Cricetulus griseus: one gene and its partners. The protein of the gene in region 1 binds, or shares a complex with, the protein of each later gene. Links are inferred from orthologs where the notes say so. Each region holds a gene or a part of one and is shown in the gene's direction. Other genes may lie near its edges. The genes, in order: Stx18, Bnip1, Stx5, Vamp7, Stx7, Stx4 and Vti1b.

What was found.
Region 2: Stx18 (region 1) and Bnip1 share a complex: the UniProt entries of both Homo sapiens proteins name them as parts of the SNARE complex. The link is inferred for Cricetulus griseus from reciprocal best matches to the Homo sapiens genes STX18 and BNIP1.
Region 3: Stx18 (region 1) and Stx5 share a complex: the UniProt entries of both Homo sapiens proteins name them as parts of the SNARE complex. The link is inferred for Cricetulus griseus from reciprocal best matches to the Homo sapiens genes STX18 and STX5.
Region 4: Stx18 (region 1) and Vamp7 share a complex: the UniProt entries of both Homo sapiens proteins name them as parts of the SNARE complex. The link is inferred for Cricetulus griseus from reciprocal best matches to the Homo sapiens genes STX18 and VAMP7.
Region 5: Stx18 (region 1) and Stx7 share a complex: the UniProt entries of both Homo sapiens proteins name them as parts of the SNARE complex. The link is inferred for Cricetulus griseus from reciprocal best matches to the Homo sapiens genes STX18 and STX7.
Region 6: Stx18 (region 1) and Stx4 share a complex: the UniProt entries of both Homo sapiens proteins name them as parts of the SNARE complex. The link is inferred for Cricetulus griseus from reciprocal best matches to the Homo sapiens genes STX18 and STX4.
Region 7: Stx18 (region 1) and Vti1b share a complex: the UniProt entries of both Homo sapiens proteins name them as parts of the SNARE complex. The link is inferred for Cricetulus griseus from reciprocal best matches to the Homo sapiens genes STX18 and VTI1B.

What each region holds. Positions count from the first base shown.
Region 1 is NW_023276807.1:107,058,155-107,061,654, forward strand, and holds part of Stx18 (syntaxin-18), read left to right. Parts: coding exon 1-64; intron 65-229; coding exon 230-296; intron 297-3,500. UniProt on the Homo sapiens protein: Syntaxin that may be involved in targeting and fusion of Golgi-derived retrograde transport vesicles with the ER.
Region 2 is NC_048600.1:47,012,878-47,016,377, reverse strand, and holds part of Bnip1 (vesicle transport protein SEC20), read left to right. Parts: intron 1-1,791; coding exon 1,792-1,893; intron 1,894-3,041; coding exon 3,042-3,160; intron 3,161-3,500. UniProt on the Homo sapiens protein: As part of a SNARE complex may be involved in endoplasmic reticulum membranes fusion and be required for the maintenance of endoplasmic reticulum organization. Also plays a role in apoptosis.
Region 3 is NC_048596.1:51,355,579-51,359,638, reverse strand, and holds the start of Stx5 (syntaxin-5), read left to right. Parts: upstream 1-1,260; 5' UTR 1,261-1,406; intron 1,407-1,573; exon of another isoform or gene 1,574-2,082; 5' UTR 2,083-2,104; coding exon 2,105-2,329; intron 2,330-2,672; coding exon 2,673-2,743; intron 2,744-2,904; coding exon 2,905-2,960; intron 2,961-3,178; coding exon 3,179-3,249; intron 3,250-4,060. Other genes in the region: Wdr74 (WD repeat-containing protein 74), read left to right, coding at 201-377; testis-expressed protein 54-like, read left to right, coding at 574-652, 783-994. UniProt on the Homo sapiens protein: Mediates endoplasmic reticulum to Golgi transport.
Region 4 is NC_048604.1:56,004-60,033, reverse strand, and holds the start of Vamp7 (vesicle-associated membrane protein 7), read left to right. Parts: upstream 1-1,230; 5' UTR 1,231-1,383; intron 1,384-4,030. UniProt on the Homo sapiens protein: Involved in the targeting and/or fusion of transport vesicles to their target membrane during transport of proteins from the early endosome to the lysosome. Required for heterotypic fusion of late endosomes with lysosomes and homotypic lysosomal fusion.
Region 5 is NC_048595.1:243,359,580-243,363,652, forward strand, and holds the start of Stx7 (syntaxin-7), read left to right. Parts: upstream 1-1,273; 5' UTR 1,274-1,402; intron 1,403-4,073. UniProt on the Homo sapiens protein: May be involved in protein trafficking from the plasma membrane to the early endosome (EE) as well as in homotypic fusion of endocytic organelles. Mediates the endocytic trafficking from early endosomes to late endosomes and lysosomes.
Region 6 is NC_048596.1:72,932,671-72,936,629, reverse strand, and holds the start of Stx4 (syntaxin-4), read left to right. Parts: upstream 1-1,159; 5' UTR 1,160-1,290; coding exon 1,291-1,320; intron 1,321-1,481; coding exon 1,482-1,583; intron 1,584-1,639; exon of another isoform or gene 1,640-1,661; coding exon 1,662-1,761; intron 1,762-1,902; coding exon 1,903-1,977; intron 1,978-2,838; coding exon 2,839-2,909; intron 2,910-3,959. UniProt on the Homo sapiens protein: Plasma membrane t-SNARE that mediates docking of transport vesicles. Necessary for the translocation of SLC2A4 from intracellular vesicles to the plasma membrane.
Region 7 is NC_048598.1:124,471,015-124,473,826, forward strand, and holds part of Vti1b (vesicle transport through interaction with t-SNAREs homolog 1B), read left to right. Parts: intron 1-1,109; coding exon 1,110-1,283; intron 1,284-2,812. UniProt on the Homo sapiens protein: V-SNARE that mediates vesicle transport pathways through interactions with t-SNAREs on the target membrane. These interactions are proposed to mediate aspects of the specificity of vesicle trafficking and to promote fusion of the lipid bilayers.

The sequences.
Region 1 (3,500 bases):
CATTCCCAGCAAGTGAAGGAACACAGGACCGCGGTTTTGGATTTCGTTGAAGATTACTTAAAAAGTATTTCATTTTCTTCTAAAGGTCAAATGTGGCATTTCATAAGAGATGCAATTTAGAATAGAGCTTTGCTAGCTGAAGACCATAGTGTCTCATTAGTGTTAATGATACCTTTGCCTGAGAAGCCATTTTAAATGCTCTCTGTTCTGGTATTTTCTGCTTCAACAGGAGTATGTAAGCTTTACTCTGAACAAAGAGCCATCCGAGTTAAGCGTGTGGTGGATAAGAAGAGACTGTGAGTATTTCTACCTTTGCTCTTCCTTCCTCAGTTAAAACAGGGGCAACAAGAATGGCAGCCTGAGCTCCTCACGCCCTGACACTGTGGGCCTCTGTGCATGAAGTCTTCACCAAATGCTGTCATAGCAGCTGAAGACATACTATGTACCAAGTGTGCTGGTCACTCGGTTAGCCACAGCAGCCCATGAGGCAGGTTCTCTCATTTCCAGATAAACACTGTGGTTCAGCAGGTTTTAAGCTCATGTGACCCCACAGTCTCGTGGCAGCTGAACTGGTATTGAGCACTTACGTAATTTCTTTTTATTTTTTTTTTTTTTGTTGGGAGTAGCAGGGAGTCAATCTGGCTATGTAGTACATGCTGGCTTCAAAGTCATTATGCAGCCCAAACTGGTCTTGAACCCATATTTTTTTCTGCTTCAGTATTCAGAGTGAGGTGGTTATAGATGTGTGTCACCTACCCAACTTCTCACCCCATTTCTTAATAATCCTGTAAGGTGGGACACTTAGAGCTATTGACCTTGGTCTTTGTCCTCCCCCCATACCTCCTTCTCTGAAAGAGTTTTTCTGAAAAGGGGTTTTCGTGGTGATGAATGCTCCCCTGTGTCACTGACAATATGACATAATATATTCAAGATGTCATGTGCACTGACTCCTACCCCACTCCAATACCCATTTAAGCATGATGGCTGCAGTTTGTCCAGGGAGGATCCAGGGGAGCAGGTCCGACTCTGGTGTTGTAACTTTAGCTTATCAGTATGGTAAGGAGAGCAGTCACTGGCTCTCACAGCCCCCCTTCCCCCCAGAGGAGAAGCAGCTGTGTCTGCTGTGCTATCACACTAAGAGACACACAGCCTTGGTTCTAAGCAGAAGTTTCCACTGATGTCAGTCAAATGGGAATTGTATGGAATCAATCACCTGCCAAATAGCTGTTCTCCACAATTACCCTAAACAGGAGACCTTGGAGACCTCAGAATAACTGTAACTCTTCACAGTGTGACCCAGACCTCTCTTCTTAGGCTTGTATTTCTCAGGCAGGCCTTGAGTTCTGATCATACTGCCTCTGCCTCCCAGATGGTGGGATTGTGGAACTGCAGGCATGTGTTACCACCCTGACTTCTTTCTAGTCTTTCTTCACCTTTATATACAATACATGTTTATTATGTATAGTTTCATACATAATCTTATGCCTGCCTCCCTTATGCACAGGTATCACAAAGGCTAAATATGTCAAATTCAAAACTATAGTGACTATATTATAGCTTTTGTTTCTAAATCAATCACCAGTGACATCTGCTCTGCCTGCCTCTGTGTGACTTTGTTCTAAAGGAGCTTTGCCTTTCTTGTCCCCAGTTCTTGTTGAATTCTCCATCCATAGAACCTTTCACATAGCCTGCTCTGTTCATCTGGTGGACAAAATCCATACTCATCCTTCCAGCCCAACTGAAACACCACCTGTCCTGTGAAGTGTTCCAGCTGCTGCCAACAGTGTTGTGTCCCCCTTCTTAGTAGGCTCCTCATGTGTTGTTCATGGCCAGGTGCAACACACACACTCATGCAGTCACTATTGACTTATGTCTCCTCACACACCTCAGCCCATCACACAATGCCTGTCCTTTGGGGATGCCAGTGGGTAGAGTGTGCAATTGTCATTGGTGGGCTGTTTCTGTTTGGGTTGCTGATGGCTGTAGTTAAGAAGTTTTTATGAGTCTAGCTGCTCATGTTCTGTGGCATTGTTGTCACTATCACCTTTATCTGGTGAAGGAAAACACACTTGTTAAAGTGCAGCTTGCTCACTGTAATTGCTCACTGTAATATCTTAAAAGTGTGGATGGTATTATGTAGTTGCTTTTGTTCTTGTAGAGTGATGTCACATCTATCTACCATACCAAAGGGCTCTTATTTCAAACTGCTGAAAATATTTTGCTCATTATGCCAGAAGTATTCCCAGCTGACTGCTCTACACTTTCCTACAGTGACTATGTTGTCTGTAAATGATGGTGCATTATTAAAAATACCTATTTTCATGTACCCTGATGGCATTTTGCTTTGTGAGCTGACAGTAGTGGTACCTGCCGCATGTTGCCTCAAGCCAGAGAGGGATAACTACCCTGGGCATCACATCTCTCTGCTCTTTTTCCTATAAGTTTGGAGGTAGAGACCAGCATCTTCTGACTTTCTGATCAGTGCATTGATCAAAGCCTGCTATAAAGTAGTTGGTTCCTGACTGAAGGAGACTTCAAATGGGGCATGGTCACTTACTCTTGCTCATAGAGTTGCAGAGTAAAAGCTTACAAACTAGAAATACGTGGGACAATATTGGATGAAGCATTGGCACAAGTGGCTCTATCACACATCCCCAGAGGATATGAAATCCACCTCTTTTCCTCTTGGTCTCCTTAGATCTCTGGTATTTGGGGGTGATTAAAGCTGAAATGGCCATCACACACTCTGGTGAAATAAATCATCTGGGCTAATCAGAAACATGTTCTCTCCAGAAAAGCAGTTTGTGTGTCATTGACCTTTTTTTTTCTTTCTCCGTCCAGAAGAGGCTTTAGGTAGCCCTCTGAGAATCAAGACTAGCCTGAGACTTGTCTGCTAGGGCAGAAGTACCTTCCATACTGTGCAGTGAGTGTTGGCTTTTGTTTGTGCTTTCCAGCTGACTTAGCTCTGAGATTTGCAGGATTCAGGCCATTATTTGAACCCTTCACTTTTCTGGGGTTCTTATGAGTGGAAACTTTTGGGGGCATTCTCTGTCTGAGGGAGATCTGAGAAGAATGAAAACTGATGGCTAAAGATTATAGCAGGCTACAAAACAAGGTCAAAAGGCATCACTCCACAGAAGCTGCCGAGTTCATCAGTGTATCTTAAAGTTGTGTTACTAGCATGTCCCCCACCACAGATCCTGCAGTTGAAAGTCTTTCTGAAGGTATTCAGAATTCTTGGTGGTCCTAGTAAAGCTTACTCTGACAATGTAGTCTATTGTTGGACTGAAGAAACACTTTGTGTCCAGAGATCTGTTTGCATGGGCTGTGTGTCATGAAGACAACTTCCTAAAAGGAGCATCAAGCCCTTCTTCTGCCCAGGTCAACACACACCAAAAACCACTGCTGTGATCCACAGCTATACAGCCCCCTCACATTCTTTGTTAAGTGTTCTCTGCCATCAGTACAAAGGAGGAAATTCATGCTGCTTTTCTTTTAGA
Region 2 (3,500 bases), on another chromosome or scaffold:
TGAGATTTTGGTGACATTGCAGTTGTGTGCTAGTCTTTGATTATAAAGCAGTATGTGCCATTTCTTAGTCTCTAAACCAGGGAATATAACTTTTTTTCTGGCAACATGAATCACTGTTTCTCCCTTCAGGTTGTACTTTTGTCCTATAGTCCAAAAGGGTCATTACAAACACACCTTTCCCAGCCTCATGATGTTCAAGGCCATTTCAGTAGTATCTGCTATGTCAGAATTCCCATACATTTTCCTTGTCACAACTGTTTGTGGTTTCATTTCTGAGTTGAGTTATTCTCCAGCTGCAGGCTTACTAACAGCAGCTGTGTGAATAACACTCAGCTGTTAAGAGTGACTGACAAAGACATGGGAGTGAGTAGTGCAAGTGTGCCTGGCTCATTGGCCATGGCTTTTTGTGCCACCAGAGGTTCTCAGATTGTAAGCATGAACTCACAGGGAGTTTGTGTGTGTGTGTGGTGTGGTAAATTGCACCAAACACTGTCAGTTTAGTGTGGGCTTAAAACAAAACATTTTTCCTGTTTTCCTATTCCTGGTGTGGTTTTAAAGGTCTGAGGAAAGAAAACAGGAAATTCATGTTGAAGCAGCAGATATGTTTATCAGGTTACCAGGTTTGCCAAGCTGTATAGTATTTGCTTACTTTCCTCCCTAATAAATGTGAGCTCCTTGAAGACCAGGAGCTCAGCTCTGCAACCCTGAGCCTTGCAGAACACTGTTGTGTACAGTTTGAAGATGTTAACTGTTTGAAATGGCAGGTGTGGAATGGGCTGGGAGGTGCTGTTCAGCATCTGAGAGCCCAGCTGAAGAGTGCCTTTAATCCTAGCACTTGGGAAACAGAGGCAGGAGGATCTCTGAGTTCAAGGCCAAGCCTGGTCTACACAGTGGAGTTCCAGGACAGCCAGGGCTACACAGAGAAGCCCTGTCTTAAGAAAGAAAAGAAAAAGAAAAAAAAAAAGGTGGAAGGAGAAAGTCAGCTCCACAAAATTGTCCTCTGACCTCCACACATGTGTTGCGGAATGCTCCCCCACCCCAATCATAGACACATACTTTTTTTTTTTTTAATTTAAAGAAATTTACCCTATTAGTTAAGCACTCTGTTCTAGTATTTTGTGTGTCTGGAGCTTAGCTCAGTTGATTTGAGCTGCTGTGTGAGAGTTCCAAAGCATGGATTTGATTGTCAGAGGGATATGGTTGGCTTTTCTTGTTTGTCAGTGAAAAATGGATTGCTGATCTCGTGTTGCTTATACTTGAGACATCATTTACAAAGGAGCAGGTGAAGAATGTGAATAAATCACACCAGTCAGGGTGCCCTGTGATATTTGTAGTGTCTGTGACTGGTGTCAAATAGACAAAAATAGCAAGCCTTGGAGGAATGTTGAGGAATGTTGGCTTTTGGGATTTTAACCACTCTAACAGCCACTGCAAGAGGTATAAGTGATGGTTCCAGTACTAGGTATGGAGGAGGAATGCTAGGTCATGGTTCTCAAAGACACTTGTCAGGCAATAAAGCCATTGTGGGTCTGTGTCTAGTAGAGTGCCATTTCCCTGGTCTCCCAACTGCCTAGCAGAAGAGGGATAGTGACAGACCATTCTGGAAACATTTTCCAGAGGTTCAAAGGAGAGATATTAGAACCTATGCTAAAGTAGTTACCAGGGCTACCAAGAAGAGGAAGTGGAGAGGGATGAGGTTGAACTCTGAGTCATACCTGGGAGAGTGGACTGGTTAGGCCAAGCAACCTGGTGGTGACACCAGAACCTCATGTGTGACCCTTCTTCTTCCAGCAACCAGACCTCATGGCGGAAAGCCAATCTTACCTGCAAAATTGCCATTGACAACCTGGAAAAAGCAGAACTTATGCAGGGAGGAGACCTCTTAAGGCAAAGGTATCTTCCTTTTGTCCCTTTGGGCTCTGATAACACATCTAAGCGCCATGTGAGGTGGCCTTTTGTTTTCATAACATTTGTACTTTATGTTAATGCATAAGTATTTTTTTTTTCTTTTTTTGCGACTGGGTGTCATACATCCCCATCTGGTTCAAACTTGCTGTGTAGCTGAGGATAGCCTTGAACTTCAGATCTCACAGGTGTGCATCTCCACACCAAGTTTATGCGGTTCTGGAGACCTACCCAAGGGCTTCGTGCATACTAGGCAAGCACTCTATCAACCAATCATCCCCAACCCAGACTAAATTTGACTAAAATTGGTTTTTGATTTTGGGATTTTGTTTGCTCGATTTTTTTTTGTTGTTGTTGTTTTTGTTTTGTTTTTTGTAGTAGTAGGAGTTGAATCTGGGGTCTCATGCATGAAGGGCAAATGCTCCACCACTGAGCTAACTCCCAGTCCTCCCTGACAATTTTTAAGACTCTTCTTTTAACTGTGCATGCATAATATCTATGTTATTAACCAGTCCTGTTGGTGTGTTGGCATTTCTGCCTTTTCAGTATCGTATGCTGCATCAATGCAGGTTTTCATCCAGTTCCTTCAATAAGTTCTCTGGGAGTGAATGAACATTTCTAATCTCTTTGTACTTAGTGCAAATTGGTTTACAGACAGCAGCATGGTTTCCATTCCTCCCAGCAGGGCTTGAGAACGTGGGCTCAGCATACATCCTTAGCCACACTGATGGTTTAGGAATGTGCAAGCTGGCAGTAATAGCCCATGCCTTTAATCCCAGCATTTGGGAGGCAGAGGCAGGTGGATCCTTGTGAGCAAGTCCAGCCTGGTCTACAGGGCCAGTTCCAGGACATCCAGGGCTACATAGTGAGACCCTATCTTGAAAAAAAAAAGAAGAAGAAGAAGAAGAAGAAAGGAATATATGCTAGCTGGCTATGTGGTACATACCTGTAATCCTAGCACTCACTGGTGGGGGGTGGACTGAGACGAGGACATTCTGCCCTCTTGGCCAGGCTGAGCTACATTGTGAGACCCCCATCTCAAAGCACAAACAGAAAGAGCACTGATGTGATAGGTTAAGATGGTGCTTTTTACAAGCTAGGATTTGTAGTTATTGCTCCTTCCTCTGAACTTTCAGGAAAACTACCAAAGAGAGTTTGGCACAGACATCTAGCACCATCACAGAGAGCCTCATGGGGATCAGCAGGATGATGTCACAGCAGGTGCAGCAGAGTGAAGAGGCTATGCAGACTCTAGGTAAGGAGAGAAGCTGCTCCAGAGCGCACACCCAAACTGTGCCTCAGGACATGGCAAGGCAGTTTGGTCCTTTGGGGGGGGGGGGACAGGATGGTGGGTAGATGCTGCTCTTTGTCTCCTCCAGCTATGCAGCTGTGCTGACATGCCTCCTGCCATCAGTGCTCCCCTGAGGAAGCATTGCTAGGCTCATGTGAAAAGCAGGAATGGCAGTCTCTCTGGAGATGGGGTCTGTCATCGATGCTTGCAAGGGGTTCAGGAGTCTGGTTTTTAAGCATTGGCTTGTGGGCTTAGTATTGCCAGACAGGTTTGGGAATTAGGACCACTGACAAGACCATTACTG
Region 3 (4,060 bases), on another chromosome or scaffold:
ATAGACCAGGGCTGTCTCTCTACTGTAACCTAATTTCCCTGAGGGATGCTCTACCCTGTATAGCCTTATTGCTGAGGGTGAGGGACTCCAGAACACAACTGCACTGGTTTCTAGGTCAAAGTAGTGGTGTCCAGAGAAATTATTTTTCTGCCAATCTCTTTCCTTGTCCCTGATTCCTGAGTTTCTTTCTCACTCATCAGGATGAGCCCCAAGAACCTCAAGAGCCCAACATGGTACCCCCAGAAGACACAGAGACAGATGAACTTTGGGCATCTTTGGAGGCAAATGCCAAGCGGAAGCTCCCTGATTTAAATCAGATACAAGGGACTCTCCAAACAAGAAAAAAAAAGAAGCGGCCTGGATCCTCCAGTCCTTGAAGACTTTTGCTATTTTGTTAATAAACAGCCCAACACACACAGAGACCCTGAACCTTTTGTGATGGGAGAAAGGAGAGGTGGCTTGTGGGTGGGAGGGGTTCCCTCACCCGGGCTGTGGGAGACCTGACGTCACAAAAGCTGGGTCCAGAGCTAAGCAGGCTGGGGAGGGTGGCAGAGTCCTGCGCCTCTCGGGGCCATGGGCTGCTGTCAAGACAAGGACCATCAGACCTCTGATGAGCATGCAAGGGAGGAAGTGACCGACGAAGGTAGGCAAGGTAGGCCCAGATTCAAAAAAGGGTCAGGGAGCTGGATTGGGAATGGGAGTGGGAGGTGCCCAGAATGGACGGCCTAAAGAGACTGGACTAGAGAGGAGAACTGAACTAAGTGGCCTCGTGGCCCTTGCAGACAACGAAGTCAATTTGGACAACGCAGGCCGCCGCAAACAAAGATCTAACGAAAGTCTTCTGATCACCGTGCTGTGGCGCAGGCTATCCATGTTCAGCCGTCGGGGGTCCTCACGGTCAAGCAAGAGGCTCTCAGACCTGACTCAAAAGCAGGAGAGTCAGATCCAGGAGCGCAAACGTGAGGGAAGCCACAAGGAACCAGAAAAGGGCTGACTCCAATCCTGCTCTCGTCCTCCCCAACATCCAGAGAATAAAATTAATATTGTGGATCTGCCGAAAACATGCCTCTGCCTCCACATCTGTAGGCGCCGAGGCGCTGGCTCTTTAAGACTCCTCTGGCCCAGCCCTCTGGGATCTGTTTCTGCTCTTCAGGGGCGGGGCCACAGCGGCAGTTTAACCAATAGGAGAGCGGAGTCGAGCATGCAAGGGCAGAGGTGTGTTCTTCCTGTCTCTGGGCTTAAAAAAATAGGCGTGGCGCGGCATCACGTCACGGGGGTGGGGTTACGTGTGGGTGACGTGGCGGCTCCTGCTCTTTGCTCCGATTTGGGTGGCTTACAAGTCCAGCGAGGAGGCGGCGACGGCCTGGAGAGAGTGGCAGTGGCGGCGGCGGTAGGCAACAGAGGAGGTAGGGCTTCGTTGGGGTAGGGGGCCAGTTTCTGTCGGTCGTCTCAGCTCGGGGGCAGCGGCTTGACGGTGGGGGAGGGGGGAGAAGGGAGCCATGGGCAAGCCCTGCTGGCGGCTCCGCGTAAGCGAATACCTTGCTGTCCAATCAGGAAAGGCCTTGTTGAGAAAGACGCCGGCCCTGTCCAATCAGTGGCTGCAGTCTTCCAACAGGCGGAACTTTGATGGAGGTGGGACTTCCTGTTTCAAATAAACACTTAAAGAGGTTTTCCCCCCCTCCGCCCACCGAAGTGTGTCCACCTTTGGAGGTCGGTTGCCGTTTTTCCGTGAGGGAGTTAAGGAAGTCACGTATACCAGAGGGCACGATTAAGATCTGGGCCAACTGCAAAGGTCTGGCTGGAGGCTCAGGGCCGCAGGACCAGGCTTTGGCTGTTTTCTCGACTTTAGGGCCCCAGCCGGTGCTTTGGCCGTCAGAGCCAAGTTGGAAGGAGATTCTGAGGAGGCTTCGCCTTGGGCCTGGAGGAAGCTGACCCTTCTCGCCGTGGCCGGGCTGCAAGATCTACGGGTGGCCTTGGGCTCGAAAGCCTGTCAAATACGGGAAAGGGCCTGAGGATTTGCTAGTTGAGGGGAAAGCTTTGGGGAACGAGGCTGTCTGGAGAATGACATTCTCCTCTCCACAGCAGTCCGAGGTTATGCGACTCGATGATCCCGCGGAAACGCTACGGATCTAAGAACACAGATCAGGGTGTCTACCTGGGTCTCTCAAAGACACAGGTTCTGTCCCCTGCAACTGCTGTCAGTAGCAGCAGCGACATCACTCCTTTGCCCACCCCGGTGGCCCTGGTCCCTTCCCCTCCCGACACCATGTCCTGCCGGGATCGGACCCAGGAGTTCCTGTCTGCCTGTAAGTCGCTGCAGAGCCGTCAGGTAAGGACCTGGAGTGGAAAGGCAGGTGTGAGCCTAATTAATGCTTACGTTTTGTCTGCTAGTTGTCTAAATTTACTTTACAACAAAGATTAGCGAATCTTACCAATAGGAGTGGAGGAATTGTCTTCAGCAGGGATTAAGAAAAGATTAAATACCACGAACGATGAGTCAAGATTTAAACCTACATATAATTTTTTTTTCTTAGCTATAAACCACTGATAAATTTAGATTGTCTGATGCCAACAGCACTGGAGTGTTTAGTGGATATGTGAGGGAGCAGTGAAAAGCTGAGCATGAATAGTGAAGAGAACTAAAGTATCCACTTTTTGACATTACCTTTCAGAATGGAATCCAAACAAATAAACCAGCTCTACGGGCTGCCAGACAACGCAGTGAATTTACCCTTATGGCCAAGTGAGTTAAGAGAGTCTTTGGGGGGGGGTGGTAATACAATGTCTAGGAAGTTAATTTGCCTGTGTTGGTTAGGCTGAATGGGATTGGTTGTGTTGGAGCTTATGGGAATTAGCCTCTTTCCTGCCCTTTACCACAGCCTTCTCACTGATGATCATTTGCAGGCGCATTGGAAAAGATCTCAGCAATACATTTGCCAAGCTGGAGAAGCTAACAATCTGTGAGTGTTTGGTAGATCTTTCCTAGATGGGACAGTGAAACATAGTACTAGGAAGTGAGGATCGTGCAGTTTTTGTTTTATTTTCTCCTATGGTGCTGGGGATTTTAAACTAGGACTTTGTGCATTAAAGCAAGTGCCTCTACCACTGAACTGTATTCTTAGCCCTTTGAGCCTTGTTATTACCATCACCTGTTGTAACACTTCATCTGTCTCTGCAGTGGCAAAGCGCAAGTCCCTCTTTGATGATAAAGCAGTAGAAATTGAGGAGCTAACATACATCATCAAACAGGTGAGCTGCTAGCCATCAGGAGAGCCCAGCATTCTAATTAGATTACTTCCATCATTTTCCATCGCCATGAATCCCCAGGGTAAGTATCTAGACCCATGTCCAAACACCCTGCTCCTCCACTGAGTCCATAGACACTTAGGATCATCTAGCATTTGTAAAGTACTGTTCTGTATGCTGATGGAACAAATGAGAAGCAAGATTATTGTCTTTAAGGGTTCATTCTTCTTAAGAGTTACCCAGCATCAGGAGCCTAGGCTTAAAATGAGTAAGTGATAGTATAGAAAAGATTTTACAAAAAGATGAATGAAATAGTATGCTGGGAAAGATTGACAGAGGATATGAAATCTGAACTGGATTCGGAGGTTATATAGAGGAAATAGAAGGACTTACCAGTCTGAGGAGTTTATTTACAGAGGTGTTGATTAGAAAAGGGGGAAGGTCAGCTGAGAGTAGTGATGAACACCTTTAATCCCAGCACTCTGGAGGCAAAGGCAGGCAGATCTCTGAGTTCTAGGCCAGCCTGGTCCACAGAGTGAGCTCCAGGACAGCCAGAGTTGTAAGTTTATTCTCTATAATTACCTTACGTTTGTTTGATTTCATTCCCTGTATCCTTTCTACTTTTCTAAAAGAGAAGGAAAAAACAAAGGGGCAGGGCAAAAGATTTGCAGATACCTCAGGAGCAGGTTCTTTGTTTTGGTTTCAAGACTCTAGATATATAGCCCAGTCTGGTATTTTTGTTTAAGTCAGGGTTTCTCTGTATATCCCTGGCTGTTCTGGAACTTGCTGTATAGACTAGGTTAGTCTTGAACTT
Region 4 (4,030 bases), on another chromosome or scaffold:
TGGAGACCAGGCTGGCCTCGAACTCACAGAGATCCGCCTGCCTCTGCCTCCAGAGTGCTGGGATTAAAGGCATGCACCACCAACCCGGCCTGGGATCTGTCTTTTAAAGGGGTCCTTTGCAGACTAGTACTCATGGACTCTGGGCTGACCAGAGTACTGCCTGAGTGCATTCTGCCAGGTGACAGGAGCAGACCAGCATAATGCCTGAATCCTTTCACTGTGTAAATGAGAATCATCAAGATATGAATGCCAGCAATGCAATGGGGATAGCTGATATAACCAAGAAGTGTGAAGGTTAAGAAAACAAAGTGCAGGCCAGAGGTCTAAGCAACATGTAAACTCCGAAAGTAAATGAGCTGGCATAGAGGTGGGAAGCAAACCTGTGACGGTAGTATCTTTTGAAGACTAGATTTTAGGAAACAAAGGTTTTAAAAGAGATAAAATTCAGAATATGTATTTTGCAGAGTTGAATTATAGCAATGGCTGAAAAGTACTTTTTAGCAACATTGAGAACTTTGTATTAAATGGAGAGTTTGGAGAACCACACTCAAGTGTGTGGTGAGGAGGCTGGAAGTATGGGATTGAAAAGGGTGACTTTCGAATGTTTTTCAAAAGAGAAAACTCCAGGGTCTCTAAGTGAAGGTAACAAAGAGACAGGAAACTGGGAGCTTGTACGGGTAGCTGCGGAGGTGGAGGTGGTAATGAGAAAGAAGTGTTCATCAAAGAAGTAAAAGGATATAGTAGTATAGCAGATTCAAACCACAGGAAAGTAGCTGCTGCTGATTACTGTTGTTGTTGCTGCTGCTGCTGCTGTTATTTTTGCGGCCAAAGCATGGGGAAAATGATTGGTGAGTAACACAAGGAAGTTAATTTTTTTTTTCATAACGAAGGGACAAGGGGTTCCTGTCAGAGAAATTCTGTTTTGTCTATGAACAGGCGACATCATCCCTGATAATCAGCTGGGAAATGGCGGGGGAAGCTCAGCTCCTCATTTATCCTGCTGATTATACCGGTAGACTACTTGTGTTGGCTTGCATTCTCTGGTTTTCTGGTATTAAATGGTACAGCATTAGATTTTGTTTTAGGAGCTGTTGACCGGACTAAGGAAGACGTGGTGACATTATAGTCGGAACTACTACTCCCAGAGTGCAGTATGGGCCCTGGGAAGTGCGGAGGGTAGGGAACGTCTGGGATCCCGCCCTCTAGCCCACTCCCATTGGAGGAGAGCTCACGTTCCCAGGAGGCCACATATAGGCGGGGCGCTTTGCACGGAAGCTTGGGTGTCAAGTCCCATCCTTCTCTGGTTTCCGGCAGTGGGCGACACTGGGAAGACCTGCGCACCTTGGCCCGAGCGGGAGTGCCCGCTAGAGGGTACCTTGACAGGTAAAGGGAGTGGGGCATTTTGCGGGAGGTGAGGAGACAATTCGGAGAGAGAGCGGAAGTGTAAACTGGAAGGTGCCAGGGTGGAGTAAAAGGCAGGGCAAGTGTGACTTGAATTTTTATTTTGTCTACAGTTCTAATTGTTGAGCAGGTTCAGTTTTGGCAAAGCATGTTTTACTCAGCTAAAGAGGTCTCGGTTAGTGTCAGAACGCTTCGTTTAAGTTGTAATTACAGGGTAGGAAATATTATTTTTCTCTCATTCGCGTTCTGCAGACTTTTCTATAGCCAAAAAGCTCTTTCACCCATGTTCACCGACATCACTTTCTGTTTCTTGTTCTCCTTCTGTTCATGCTTATTGTAAATTCCTATCCTCCACACACCCTTAGCAGTATTGACATTCCTTTCTCAGTTCTAGTAGGCAGTAGATCTCCACTCAAGCCTATTGTTTGAGCGTGTTACTGTTATTTTTATTGATGGCCAATATTTACCAAATTGATCATATACTTTACTCTTTGGTTAATATGGCTCTGACTCTCATAGCAAATGAATTATCAAGTCTTTTTCTTGGGATTTTATTAATCGCACTTTATGACATGCATCACCATTCTCTTTAAAAAATTCTTTCCCTTTGAATAGCTATGGCTGGAAGCAATATATTTAATATATAGTTATTAAAGAATGAACACACACTAGATACTCCTTTAAGTGCATGAGATACATTGATAGTAAAAAGACATAGGAGGTGACTAATCCAGAAACTTACATGTTTGGGGGACAGGGATGAGAGGAATAATACATCAGTATGGTGGTTTATGTTTGTTAATGCAAAATTTTAAAGGTAGTTTGCTTGACAGAATAAAATCCTGTCCTGAAAAAGTGAGAGGGATTGAGTTGGACTTCAGATCATTTTTGAGAAACAATGCTTGTAATAGCAACAAGAGTAATCTTGATCTGTAACCTGACTCTTCATCAACACCCCTTCTTTTTAATTGTCTTCCTTGATAGTGTTCTTCCTTTGCTACCCGTTCCAAGGTTATCCAACAAATTGTAATAAACCACAAATCGTGGTTTATCTGCCATTGATTTATTTCTTGCTAATGTCTCAGAATAAACAATTGGTGATTGGATTATTATCAATCAACTGTCTTACCTGAATTAGGGAGAGAGTTTGGTAGTAAAAAAAAATACTCTTCTTGCCAGTTTCTATAGAATATAAAGTTATCTCTAGGTATAATATTATAAGTGTACCCAGTGTTCACTTAACTGTTTGATAAATATTCTGTGCTAGGTATTGTGCTGAGAATTGGGAAGATAGGGTAAAACAAACAATCTGACTTATCTTTTAAGGAGAAATGTTAACAGTATACTGAGGAAAATTATGATACATACATAGTCATTCTTTTATTCAAGATTAGCATCACATAATTGCATAATCTTATTTTGAACAGTTTAAACAATTGTAGTCATTCCTAGTTTATTCATTCTCTACACCTTATTGTATTTATTTATGTCTGTCTCCCTTTATATTATGATTCCCTTAAGCTGATTATGTCTTGGGTTTTTAATCTTCCCCTTAATTATTGGTTATGTCTTGGGTTTATCACTGACCCTATTCTTTTATACACAGTGTATCTTTTATAAATTATATTTTAAATGTCAAATCCACATGAGCTCATCTTTGATAAAGGATATAGAATCAATTCCTTGGGGAATTTACTATTTAGTGATGAGTTAGGGGAGGAAAAGTCATCAAGAAGAAAGCTAGAGAAGCCAAATACATAGGAAAGTTTCAAGAATGAGAATCAGTTAGCATGTTGATGGCTCTTGAAATTAAGTAAGGTGATAATAGAAAAATGATCATTATTTTATATCATAGAGGGAGACTGTTAGTGATTTTAGGAAGCATTATATTTTGCATTTTTAAGGGCAAAAGCCAGCATATAGTAAATTAAGGAGTTAAAAGGAGACAGAGAAGCAAAGATAATATATAGACAAAAGTCTAAGAAATAGAATTATAACTGCAGAGTGGTGATACATGGTCAAGGGAGTCTTTTAGATAAAGAGAGATAAAAATATGAGACACTGGTTTGGAAATTATAATTATACATATTTGTTCAGAGGCTTCTGGAACGCAGACTACTGAAGACATAACTCTAGGGAACAAATTTATTTAGGCAGTAAGAATGAAGACAAGATACTACTAGAAGTTCAGCTTAAATGATAGATGAATGCCTTTTTGCTCTATGTACTGTCCTTCAGTGCTGATATTCTAATCAGGGCTCAGCAAATTCCCTGAACCCAACCACTTAATAGTTTTCTACTTCATCTAATCAAATATGGTTATATGAAATATTTTCTTATAGGCTCATCTAGGCCAGATTATTTAAATATAGTTTTCAGAATTTGAGCTCGGTCTTAAAAATTTGATTTTAAGTGATTGTGTCAAGTGACACATTCTGCTACCCAACATGATTTAAAGTCTCATCATAGTACTTAAACTGGTGTCTGTTACAAGGTGAATACTTAATATGGGTTGTTGTTATTATTATAATTGTGAGTCTAGAGTCTAGTTTCTCTTAAACTGTTCTCTAAGATAAATTTTCAGGATGAGATTGTTTCATTAAACTGTAATGTCATCTTTATGTCACTT
Region 5 (4,073 bases), on another chromosome or scaffold:
GAATTTCCTCCGTATCATGAAAAACATATAATGTCACTATATTGGGCTAATATTTCTAATAGTTCACAGTGGGGACTACGGGTATAGCTCTGTGGTGGATCATGTTTCCAAAATTTGAGGCCTTGGGTTTGGTTTCTAGCACCTGAAAACAAAACCTCAAACAACCTGGGCAAATGACACAGGCCTCTAGTTCCAGCTGCTCAGAAGGACAAGGCAGGGTTGAAAGTCCAAGGCCTGACTGTGCTATAGAGTGAGATCAAGATTAGTTTGGGCAGCCTATGAAGATCCTGTTTCACAAACAAAAGGCTGGGGATACAGGACACAGTTAAGGCCTTTGTTTTCCGTGTGCAGGGTCCTTGGTTCAATCTTCAGTACCTGACAAAATAAAGCAAACTCAAAAGTTCACAGTGGCTCTAGCTGAATCACATTGCTTTCACTGGGTGTTTGTCCTTTGACCAGGGTACTCACTTCACTGTGTGGATCCTGCTTGGAAGACGAGCGCATCAGTCTGACCTAAATCATCTATGTATGCTTGCATGTGTAAAACCAACCAACGTACTTTTCTCTGTGGTTCTGGTTCGAAGTATTCTGGATTCCCTTCAACTCTCTCTCTCTCTCTCTCTCTCTCTCTCTCTCTCTCTCTCTCTCTCTCTCTCTTGTGTACTTTGGTATCACATGTTTTCATGCTCTTTTCAGAAAATAACACCGTCTTAATTTTGCAAAGAATGTCTTTCACCCGAGCCACTGATGCTCATTGTTGGAACATTCTGTGCTCTTAAAGCCTGGGAAAACTGCTTCCTGTATTTCGAGGATGCGAGGACGATCGTGAGCTAAGAAAACATCTTTACCAAGTGAGCACCCAGAGGCGATTCTTCATTTGTTCTTTCGTGGATTCAGCCAGAATTGCCTTGACCTTGTGTGTGTGTGTGTGTGTGTGTGTGTGTGTGTGTGTGTGTGTGTGTGTGTGTGTGTGTGTGTGTGTGTGTCATTTTAAAATGAGGTTGTTAATAAAGTCGACTGCAGAGTTGAGGGTTAGGAAACAGGACTGGCAGGAGCTGATGGGGTATGAGTCCAGGGAGCATGGCGCCACCGAGTGAAGAAGACAGCTCTCCTGTATCCCTTCTTCTCTTGCACGTAGACATTCACCATCAGTGTGTCAGGCTTCAAGGCATTGCTCCGTAGCAATTTTGCTAGTCCCTTCAAGCTTTAGCTGTTATTGGCCAATGGGAGAGAAGCGAACCCCGCCTCCTTCTTCCCTGGGCTGTACCCCGAGCATGCGCAGTGGGCGGGCTTGCACCACCGCCCATCAGCTGAAGCTAGCTGCGGAGGGCTGTGGGCCCCTGGGTGACAGCGGCTGCAGGAGAAGGAGAAGGAGAAGGAGAAGGAAGCCGATGGGGTTAGGGTAAGAGGAGGCTGCAGAGCCGGGGGGTCCGGGAGGGGCGCCCCAGAAGCTCAGCCCGCGGTGGCTGTGTTTGGGAGCCGGCAGAGTCGGGCTCCCCGGGGGCGCGGGGCCGGCGAGAAGAGGCGCCCACGCCCCGCCGCGGACTCGGGGACGCGACGAGCTTGCACTCCCGGGCGGGTGCGCGGCAGGGAACCCCGGCTGCCTGTCAGCCTTGGGCGCCGATCCCATCGCCAGCTCCTCATTCTCTGTCAACTTCCCTTCCAGAACAGAAAAGTCAGAGCCCTGGGCCCTGGTCATCTGGCCACAGGTTATTTCTGCGGCCCCTTGAGTTTGCTGTGCTGCTGGCGGTGACTTCCACAAGCTAACTTTCTTTGACCTTAATTGTGCATGGCTTTAACTGATTTACCCCCAAGACCCTTAACAAAAGTATTTCAAGAATTCGCATCTGTGTTTTTTAGGTTAAGTTCAGAACAACAACAACAACAACAAAGCTTGGGTAAGGGTGGAGAGGGAGATAGCCTCCTAGTCAAATGCTAATTTTCCCTTCAGATTTTGTAATATGCTTGGATTTTATATACCTCTCTCTGTCTCGGATTTTATCTCTCTCTCTCTCTCACACACACACACACACACTTCAGATCTTGTATTCTGGCAATAATTGTCATTTATAGGTGGTCCACAATCAGGAAAAAAGAAAAAAAAAAAAAGGAAGTAACCGCGAAACACTGTTCGATTTGGTCCTGTTGGATATAGGCTTTTTTTTTTTTTTTTTTTTTTTTTTTTTTTTTTATGTGCACTCTGAGCTGCACTGGGCAGAGACTGATAAAACTGTTAAATTGTGTCTTGTCATGTGAAAGCCTTTGGCTTTGCCGCTTCCGAAGTTGGCCCCAGGCTTGTGACTAGTTAAGAATTAGACTGTAGTTTCCCAGTGTCTGGGGAAGTTAATGTGACACTGTATTAACTCGTCTGCGTCGTTTTTCCTTCAGGTAGTTTACTTCTTATATTCTTCCTGATTAGCAGTCATTTCTAATTTTGATTATGAGCCCAAGTTCGTCCAAGTGCTGCTGGTTGGAAATTATTAACGATCACGATTATTAGCTATACATAGTTCAGTGGTGGAGTGCTTGCTTAGTGTGCACGAGACCCTGGTTCAGTTCTCAGCATTGCAAAATATTATTGCTGTGTCTACTATTATTATTAGACGGAACACCTACAGTTAAGTCTGAGTGGATTTTGCTGTGGTTCAGTGTAACTTGAAATACTAATGGGTAAAACCATGGTGGGAAATCCTTGGTAAAGTAAGTTAAATCCAAATAGTGTAACATAATAGTTTAACTGATGAAGGAGCTGGGCTGAAGTGTGCTTTGGTAGCTTGTGGAACGGATGGAAGGTGGAGGCCCTCACTTCCATTGATTATGTCCGATGATTGTTCCCTCTCTTGTTTGTGTTAGGGACTGAAAATAAGCATTGTGGATCTTTGGGTCTTTTAAGTACTATAAATGGTTTGAAGCAGAAGGTACATTGACAGAGAGCAATAGCAGTGACTTCTCATTTCACCTCTGGCGTTTCTAGCATGTGATAACAGCTTGCTGAGAAAAGGAGCTGGTGCTCACGTGAGCACCGTGGGGGGGGGCCTTCTAGAGATAGGAAAATGGCACCCAGAAAAGCCAAAGCAGCAATACACCTGTCATTTAGTGTTTTAGAAATGTTAATATTTTCTCTCAGGCTGGGTATGTGTTCTTAGGAAATTGGTAAACCTGTTCATTCCCACTACAAACATTGATTCCTGACCTATTTTGTAGCCATGTACTAGAGAATAGAACAGGTCCACAATTTACACTCCACCTAGTACAGCACTAGACACACAAATAAAAACCGTGGGAGACAAGGGAGAAGGAAGTCCAGTGTATTACCATGGTGTGCACGATTAAGAAAGTGAAACTGACCATTTGTTTTGAGCAGGCTGAATTTCACACCAGTTTATACTTAGTGGAAGTCTTAAGGATTCAGCAGTATCTCCAGGGCAGTAGTTTACATTCAATATTCTGTAGCAAAAATTTCTCTGTTCATTTCTTTTTTGTTCTTTAGACACAGTCTTAAGACAGATCTCATTGTGGGCGTTGCACTTTGATCTCCGGTCTCCTCTTTCACCTTATAGTGCTTATATATCTTCATAAAAAGATAATTACTAAGATGTTGAGTTGAACGCTGTCCAGTAGAACTTTCTGGGGCGATAGAAATGAATATGTGAGCTGTCCAAGCTGCTGGCCACTGGCCGCATATAATTTCTGAGCACTTGAAAGGTGACTTGGGTGGCTGCCATGTAACTTAATTCACTTTAATAGTCCATGTCAATGGTAGCTACTCTACCGGCAGCGCAGGTACAGGTGATGAGTTATATAATTATTTTTTGCAAAGGCACTAGGAATTCCAAATGGGTTTATAAAAAGAATACTTTAGTGTCTCGCAGTTCAAGCTAGGTACTGGGGATGGTTACAGAGCACAAACATTGTATAAACATAGAATTAATTAGCTTAGTTGTAAAAGTCATAAACTTTTAAGTCATTTATCGATAACTATGTACTTGTATGTTTTTTTAATAGCAAAGATAGCATTGTCCCTCTTATTTGTATTTTATCAGAAGGGCCAACTCTTGTCTTTTGAATGTCGT
Region 6 (3,959 bases), on another chromosome or scaffold:
GCTTCTGATGTGTCACCAGCCCCTAAAACATATCTGCTCTATAGTATGTGCCCAATAAATATGTCCAGAGAGACAAACCTGGGGAAATGGGACGGTGAGAGAAGCCACAGGCTTTAGTTTCAGATACATGAAAGGCTCCTATTCGGATCAAGGCTGTGAGGGCCTATTATGTAGCAAGCTCTGAATTTGGTGCTGGGGACTCCGTAAAAGAAAAGCAAGTCATGCTAGGACTTCAGGGCTGCGGAGGTAACAATACATTCCTCTCAGTCTGAGCTGCTCTGAAATCTGAAGGTGGCGAGCTCAGCGGGACTGCAGTGCTCACACAGGGCGTAGGCCGCCCACCTGTCAGAGGCTGTGCCAGGAGGACGCAGGGTGTGTAGGGGGAAGAGTTCCACCTTGGCTGAGGTCACTTCCCACCCCCAGATTGTCTGCCTACAAAACCCTGCAATCCTCTGACGCTGTAGCCTCCGATCTCATTATGTTCTGACTCTCAAGGTCTCGTGATACTGACAGCCCCCAAATTTAAGTCTTCAGATCGCCCACGCCCTAGGGCCCCAAATTAAAACAGAAAGTGAAGTCTACAAGGGTCTCCTCTGTAGGTGGCTGAGAGCTGTCGGTGTACCCCTCCCCACCTTCTGCAAGGGGTACAGCTCAGACTCAGGGGTATCGGGGACGTCGCGAGACTGAAGTCCGAGACGTCGCTGACAGCGCCGGGACACGTGACCGGCTGTCGGGCGTGCAGCCGGCGGAGCGGGGCCAGGTCTGTCACGTGATGAGGGGGCGCCATGGGGTGATGTGAGATACGAGGCTCTCAGACTGCGTGCAAATGACGCATCCCCAACCCTTTGGGCAACTAGATTCCAGTCCCAATATGAGATGTTCCGGTAGAAAGGGGGGGGGGGCGGACGGGCTCTCGATCCAGGCGGCCTCGCTTCCGTTCGGCCGCGACTGCTTCCGACCTCCGCCTTTTCCCCCTAGCGAGGAAGAGACAAGACCTCGTGCGCATGCTCCGAGTCATCCTCCCGAGGGGCGGGGCTGCGGCTGCGGGAGCAGGATGGGGGGAAGAGAAGGGAATTCCAACCTGTAGAACTTTGGGGGTCCTATGGTCGGGTTCTCCCCGGCGACTGTGCATGGTGAAAGGGGCGGGACCTCTGGGGGCTCGTGGGGGCGTTGGGGGTTCGCAGGGTGAGGAAGGGGGTGTCAAGTGAGAGAGAGCTCGTGCAGGACTTCCAAACTTAGAACCTTGAGGCCCTCGGGGCTCAGGTCCAGGGACCGGGCGCTCGGGCCGCCATGCGCGACAGGACCCATGAGCTGAGGCAGGTGAGGAGCTGGGGCCCGGCGGGCGCGCAGGACTGAGGACTCCTGGTTTGGGGTCCGGGAGGGGTGGCTGACGGCCAGGAAGGAAAATCCCGGAAGCCCATAGCTCCTGCGGGGCGAGAACCGCGGCGAGCGAGTGGTGCCAATGACTCCGGCCCTGGCAGGGGGACAACAGCTCGGACGACGAAGATGAGGCTCGAGTCGCGCTGGTGGTGCACCCAGGTACCGCCCGGCTGGGCAGCCCAGATGACGAGTTCTTCCAGAAGGTAAGGCCCGGAGGACCGAGCAGTAGGGAGGACTACAGTACCACTTATGTCTTCAGTTCCCTTGGTGATCCTCTCTAGGTCCAGGCAATTCGGCAAACTATGGCCAAACTGGAGAGTAAAGTCCGGGAGTTGGAGAAACAGCAGGTCACCATTCTGGCCACGCCCCTTCCCGAGGAGAGTAAGCGAAACCCGGGTTCACGTACGCCAGCCCGGTGGATTATGGGGGATGTAGTCCTATATAGATGTTGGCCGGGGGTGGGGTTGGTTTTGGTTTGTGGTGGAGGCTGTGGTTTGGAAGTGTTGGCCTTCTCTCATTTAGGCATGAAGCAGGGCCTGCAGAACCTGCGCGAGGAGATCAAACAGCTGGGGAGAGAGGTCCGGGCACAGCTAAAAGGTGAATGAACTTCAAGGGCCTCAGCCAGATCATCCCCAGTGATTCAGCCCTGATGCTCGTGTATCTGGGGAGTCAAGTGATATATCAGGTCACAGAGCAGGTCTGGGTCTAGGATCTCTGCCCTGTGGCATCTAAGCCTTGGTACTTTGCATATATTACATGCTGGCCTCTCAGATTCCTTTATTACTATTTTTACATCTAAATTCAAAACTACTTGCTGCTACAGTTCTTGAAGCCCAGTGTGTGTTCTTTGAGCAGATGGATGAGGGTTTCTTAGGAGGCTCCTTCACTCTTGTGGGAACCCACTGATGTAATACAAAGAAAAACTTCTCTTAGAAGATCAGAATTAGCCTCCTCCTCCCCCTCCCTCACCTCTTCCTCCTATGTAGACCAGGCTGGCCTCAAATTCACAGAGATCCATCTTTCCCTGCCTTTTGAATGCTGAGATTAAAGGCCTGCCGTAACCAGGTCCAGTTGGCTGATCTCACCCCCTTCTTCCTTCTTTCTTCTTCCTCCTAGTTCCTTCTTTTTTCCTCCTCCTCCCCCTTCCTCCTCCATCATGTGTCACTACTAAAATATATCCCTGCTCATAAGTCACTTTGTAAAAAAAAATCCTACGAAGACAAGAACTTCCTTATTATGTGGCTGGAATGTAGATGTGGCCCTGTATTCTGGTACCCAAACAATTTTTTTTGATTCATTTAAAATTTTTTATTATGTATTTTCAATTTTTTAATTATTTTTTGAGACTCAGTAGGTAGATCAGGCTAGCCCAGACAGAAATCAGTTAGCCTCCCAGCCAATTTTTAGAAGTCTCAGGGCAAGCTTTTCTTTCCATCAACCCTCGTATTTCTCCCACAGCCATAGAGCCTCAGAAGGAAGAAGCTGATGAGAATTATAACTCAGTCAACACAAGAATGAAAAAAACCCAGGTTGGTTTCATTTTCCTAGAACTAGGACATTTCATCAAGTGTTTCTTAGATTACTAACTGGTGACTGGGCAACCCTTACAGACCGTTGAATCTGGGATCTCTGTCCTGATGAATTTCCTTTATGCTTATTTGGTCTAGGTAGAGGATCCCAGTCACAAAATTCTCAATCCATTATAACACCATGCCACCGCCATTCAAAGAGAATTTGCTATGTCAGACATGACTCTGTCCTGGCTATGAGAGACATATTTTCCCAAAACTGAAATGGGGAATTTGGACTGAAAAGGGAACAAAGATATTTCTCATGTAGGACTTGGTCACTAATAGCTTTGTTCAGGGAAGAAGAGAGAGAAATAAAAAATGGTAATTAAGAGCACTGGTTGCTCTTCCAGAGGCCCCAGATTTAATTTCCAGCACCCACATGGCAGCTCACAACCATCTGTAACTCCAGTTCCAGGGGATCTAACACTCTCACATAGACATACATGTAGGTAAAACACCAATGCACATAAATCAAAGAATAATAATAAGAGCCAAGTGTGAAGGCAGAGGCAGGCGGATCTCTGAGTTCGAGGCCAGCCTGATCTACAGAGAAACCCTGTCTTGAATAACCAAAAATAAATAAATAAATGATAAATAAATGTAAGTTAAAATGACAAGCAAGGACATCCTTGGCCCCATAGATAGAATTTAAGAGATGGCGAGGGGCTGCAAGACGGATCAGTGGGTAAAGGTGTCTGCTTCTAAGCTTTATAACCCAATTCAGCCCCAGGTCCATGGGGTGCAGAGAACTGACTCCTGGGAGTTGTCCTCTGATTTCTACACATGTGCCATGGCACACATGCCCTGCCCCGTGCATACACAGTAAAGACATATATTAACGTATGATGTAGGGACTGGAGAGATGGCTTAGCACACACCACTTTTGCAGAGGAACTGAATTCAGCTGTTCCCAGCTGTGACCTATGTCAGGTGGCTCACAACCATCTGTAACTCCAGCTCTAGGAAGAGGCCCTCCACCTCCTTGGATACCACAGATGAAGGCACATA
Region 7 (2,812 bases), on another chromosome or scaffold:
GCTTTTTGTTTAATATAAGAATGTGGCAATGTCTCTGCCAAGAAAGAATGCTTTATATGGTCCCTAAGCCCTTAGTACCAGCCAAGCCCATCTTCAGCGAACTAATCATTTCCAGAGTTGTAGAGGCTAGTTTACTTGTGGCACTATTGAAGTTAAAGGGTAGCCAGGCATAATGACATGAACTTGGAGGTCGAGCTGAGAGGGTCATGAGTTTGAGGCCAGCTTGAATTACAGTAAGACTGTCTCAAAATATATACATATATATATTTAAGCAAATAGTTTTAAAGTTGCAGGCTGTTTGCATTATCAGGTGATTTTTGTATCCTGTTGCCCAGTTTGGGTGCTGACTGAAGTTGCTAGTAACGAACCAGTCCATGTTTATGATAGATTTCAACTTGTCCACAGGGAAAATGCTCCAGTGGTATTTCATTTGTTTTTTAAATCTCTTCTGTGTCACAGAAGTATAACAGGCAGTGGGATGTGCCTCTGTAGTCTGTGACCTTGAACAGGATCTTATAATTCATTAGTATCTTTGATTCTATTTTAAAAGCACAGCTGACCAGCTCTTTGTGCCTGCTGCAGCTGGATATTGAGCCTTGGATTAAATTAAAAATATTGATTCTACCAGCCTGGTCTACATAGTGAGTTCCAGGTCAGCCAGGACTGCACAGTGAGACCCTGTCTCAAAAAAATTCTAGTTGAGCGCGCCAGTGCCGTTTTCTAGCATCCATGGCACCCTGGTACACACATACAGATCTTTGAAAACTCTCTTATATGCCGGACATCTGACTTTTATCTGGCCATGATTCTCTTGAGCCAAAAATAACTTTACATAGCATTTACCTTTTATTAGGCATAATTAATCTAAAGATGATTTAATGTATTGGGAGGATGTCTATGTTAATATGCAAATACTATACTATTTTACATATGGGACTTCAAAAAGATTGGCCTAGAACCAGTATCTTGCAGGTATAAAGGAAAAACCATAATGAAATGATTGCTCACTATATTGCTTTTGCACAAGAAGGTGGTCATAAAGAATATATTGACAATAAATTTATAATGGAATAAACAAGTTTCACATGTCCCTTCCCTACTCCTGTCAGAATCGGCTACAGTCTCAAAGAGCATTGCTCCTACAAGGCACGGAAAGCCTGAACCGGGCCACCCAAAGCATTGAGCGTTCTCATCGGATTGCCACAGAAACTGACCAGATTGGTACAGAAATCATAGAAGAGTTGGGGGAGCAGCGAGACCAGTTGGAACGTACCAAGAATAGAGTAAGTCTGGGCAATGTGTGAAGTATGTGGGTCCTCCATATAAAGGCCAGATACTACAGGAGGCCTGAATTTTGGGAATACCCCGCCTAATACTATACTTAATTTTTAAATTGCTTGGCTAAGAAATCCCCCCTTATAATTTCCCATGGGCCATAGAGATGGGTCATGCAATAAAAGCAGCTCATATATCTGTAGCCCCAGAGTTGGGGGATAAGTATTAGAAACTGTTGGATCAGCCAGTGTGACTAAGTTTAATTGAAAGAGCCTTTCTTAGTAAGGTGGAGAGCAACCAAGGAAGGCGCCTCCATTCCCACAGATGTGCACATACCACACACACACAAAATGTGCATATGTGTATATATATTTGTAACTGGGTCTCGTTTAAGCCTGGCTGCTGGTCTGGAATTCACTGATCTTCCTACCTCCTAGGATTAAAGTTGTGTGCCTCTATGCTAGACCATAAAAGAAATTTTGTCCGTGAGATTTAGAAATCGTTAGTTTTATTTCTGAAGAATCTGATTTGTGCCACTCCCCCTCTCTTGCTTTATTCATTACAGGGTCATCAACATATTGTAATTTCAGATGTAGTGGCATATTTTTCTATTCTTAAAAAATGTGTATAGGTATTTTGCCTGTATATATGTCTCTGTACCACATAGGCCTGGTGCCTAAGGAGGCAAGAAGAGGACATCAGATTCCCTGGAACTGGAGTTAGATGGTTTTGAGCTGCCATGCAGGTCCTGTCAATCAAACTGGGGTCCTCTGAATAAGCAGAAGTGCTCTTAACCATTGAACCACCTCTCCAGCCCTTTTTTTTTTTTTTTTTTCTATTCTTAGGAAAATACTATCTACTTACAAGACAGTTATTAAACGGAAAGGTTTTCCCATATGTCAGAAATAGTACTACTGATAGTTTATTGGCTTATAAATTATATTTCAATCCCATTAGCCTAAGGTAAGTTGGTCTATTGAGGGAAGAAAGCAAAAATATGTGGGTTAACTGATGACCATATTAGGGTTCTCTGCTCTACTATGATTGTAAGAGGATTTGAGAAATTCCTTTTTCCTTTAAGTAAATGTGTTTGTTTACAACAAATTTAAAGAATAAAAAATGGTTTGCCTGTTGAATGTTACATTAATATTTGTCCTAAGGCAAATCTTAACTGAAAACTTTGTAGCCAGGATTTGGATAGGAAAAGTACTAGCTCATTGGCAGGATTTGAAGAAATTCTTGTACATCTTATTAAAGCGATTCCCCCATTTTGTTATTTTGTGCAAATTCACAATAAATTGCTAATCCCAATGTAAGCTATGAAGGCAAATTGCTAACAGATTGTCTAAGTTTTGGGTCTTGAGTATACTTTGTAGATTGGTTGAACTTAACACACCAAAGATTGATCTGAGATACAGCAAGGAACATCATTGAAATTTCCTTCTGCTAACTAGATTAGTAACAGGTAATCAAATGAGAAAGGCACATTGGGACTAATCCTTTCTCCATTAAGTGTAACCACTCAAGCAAGGATTAA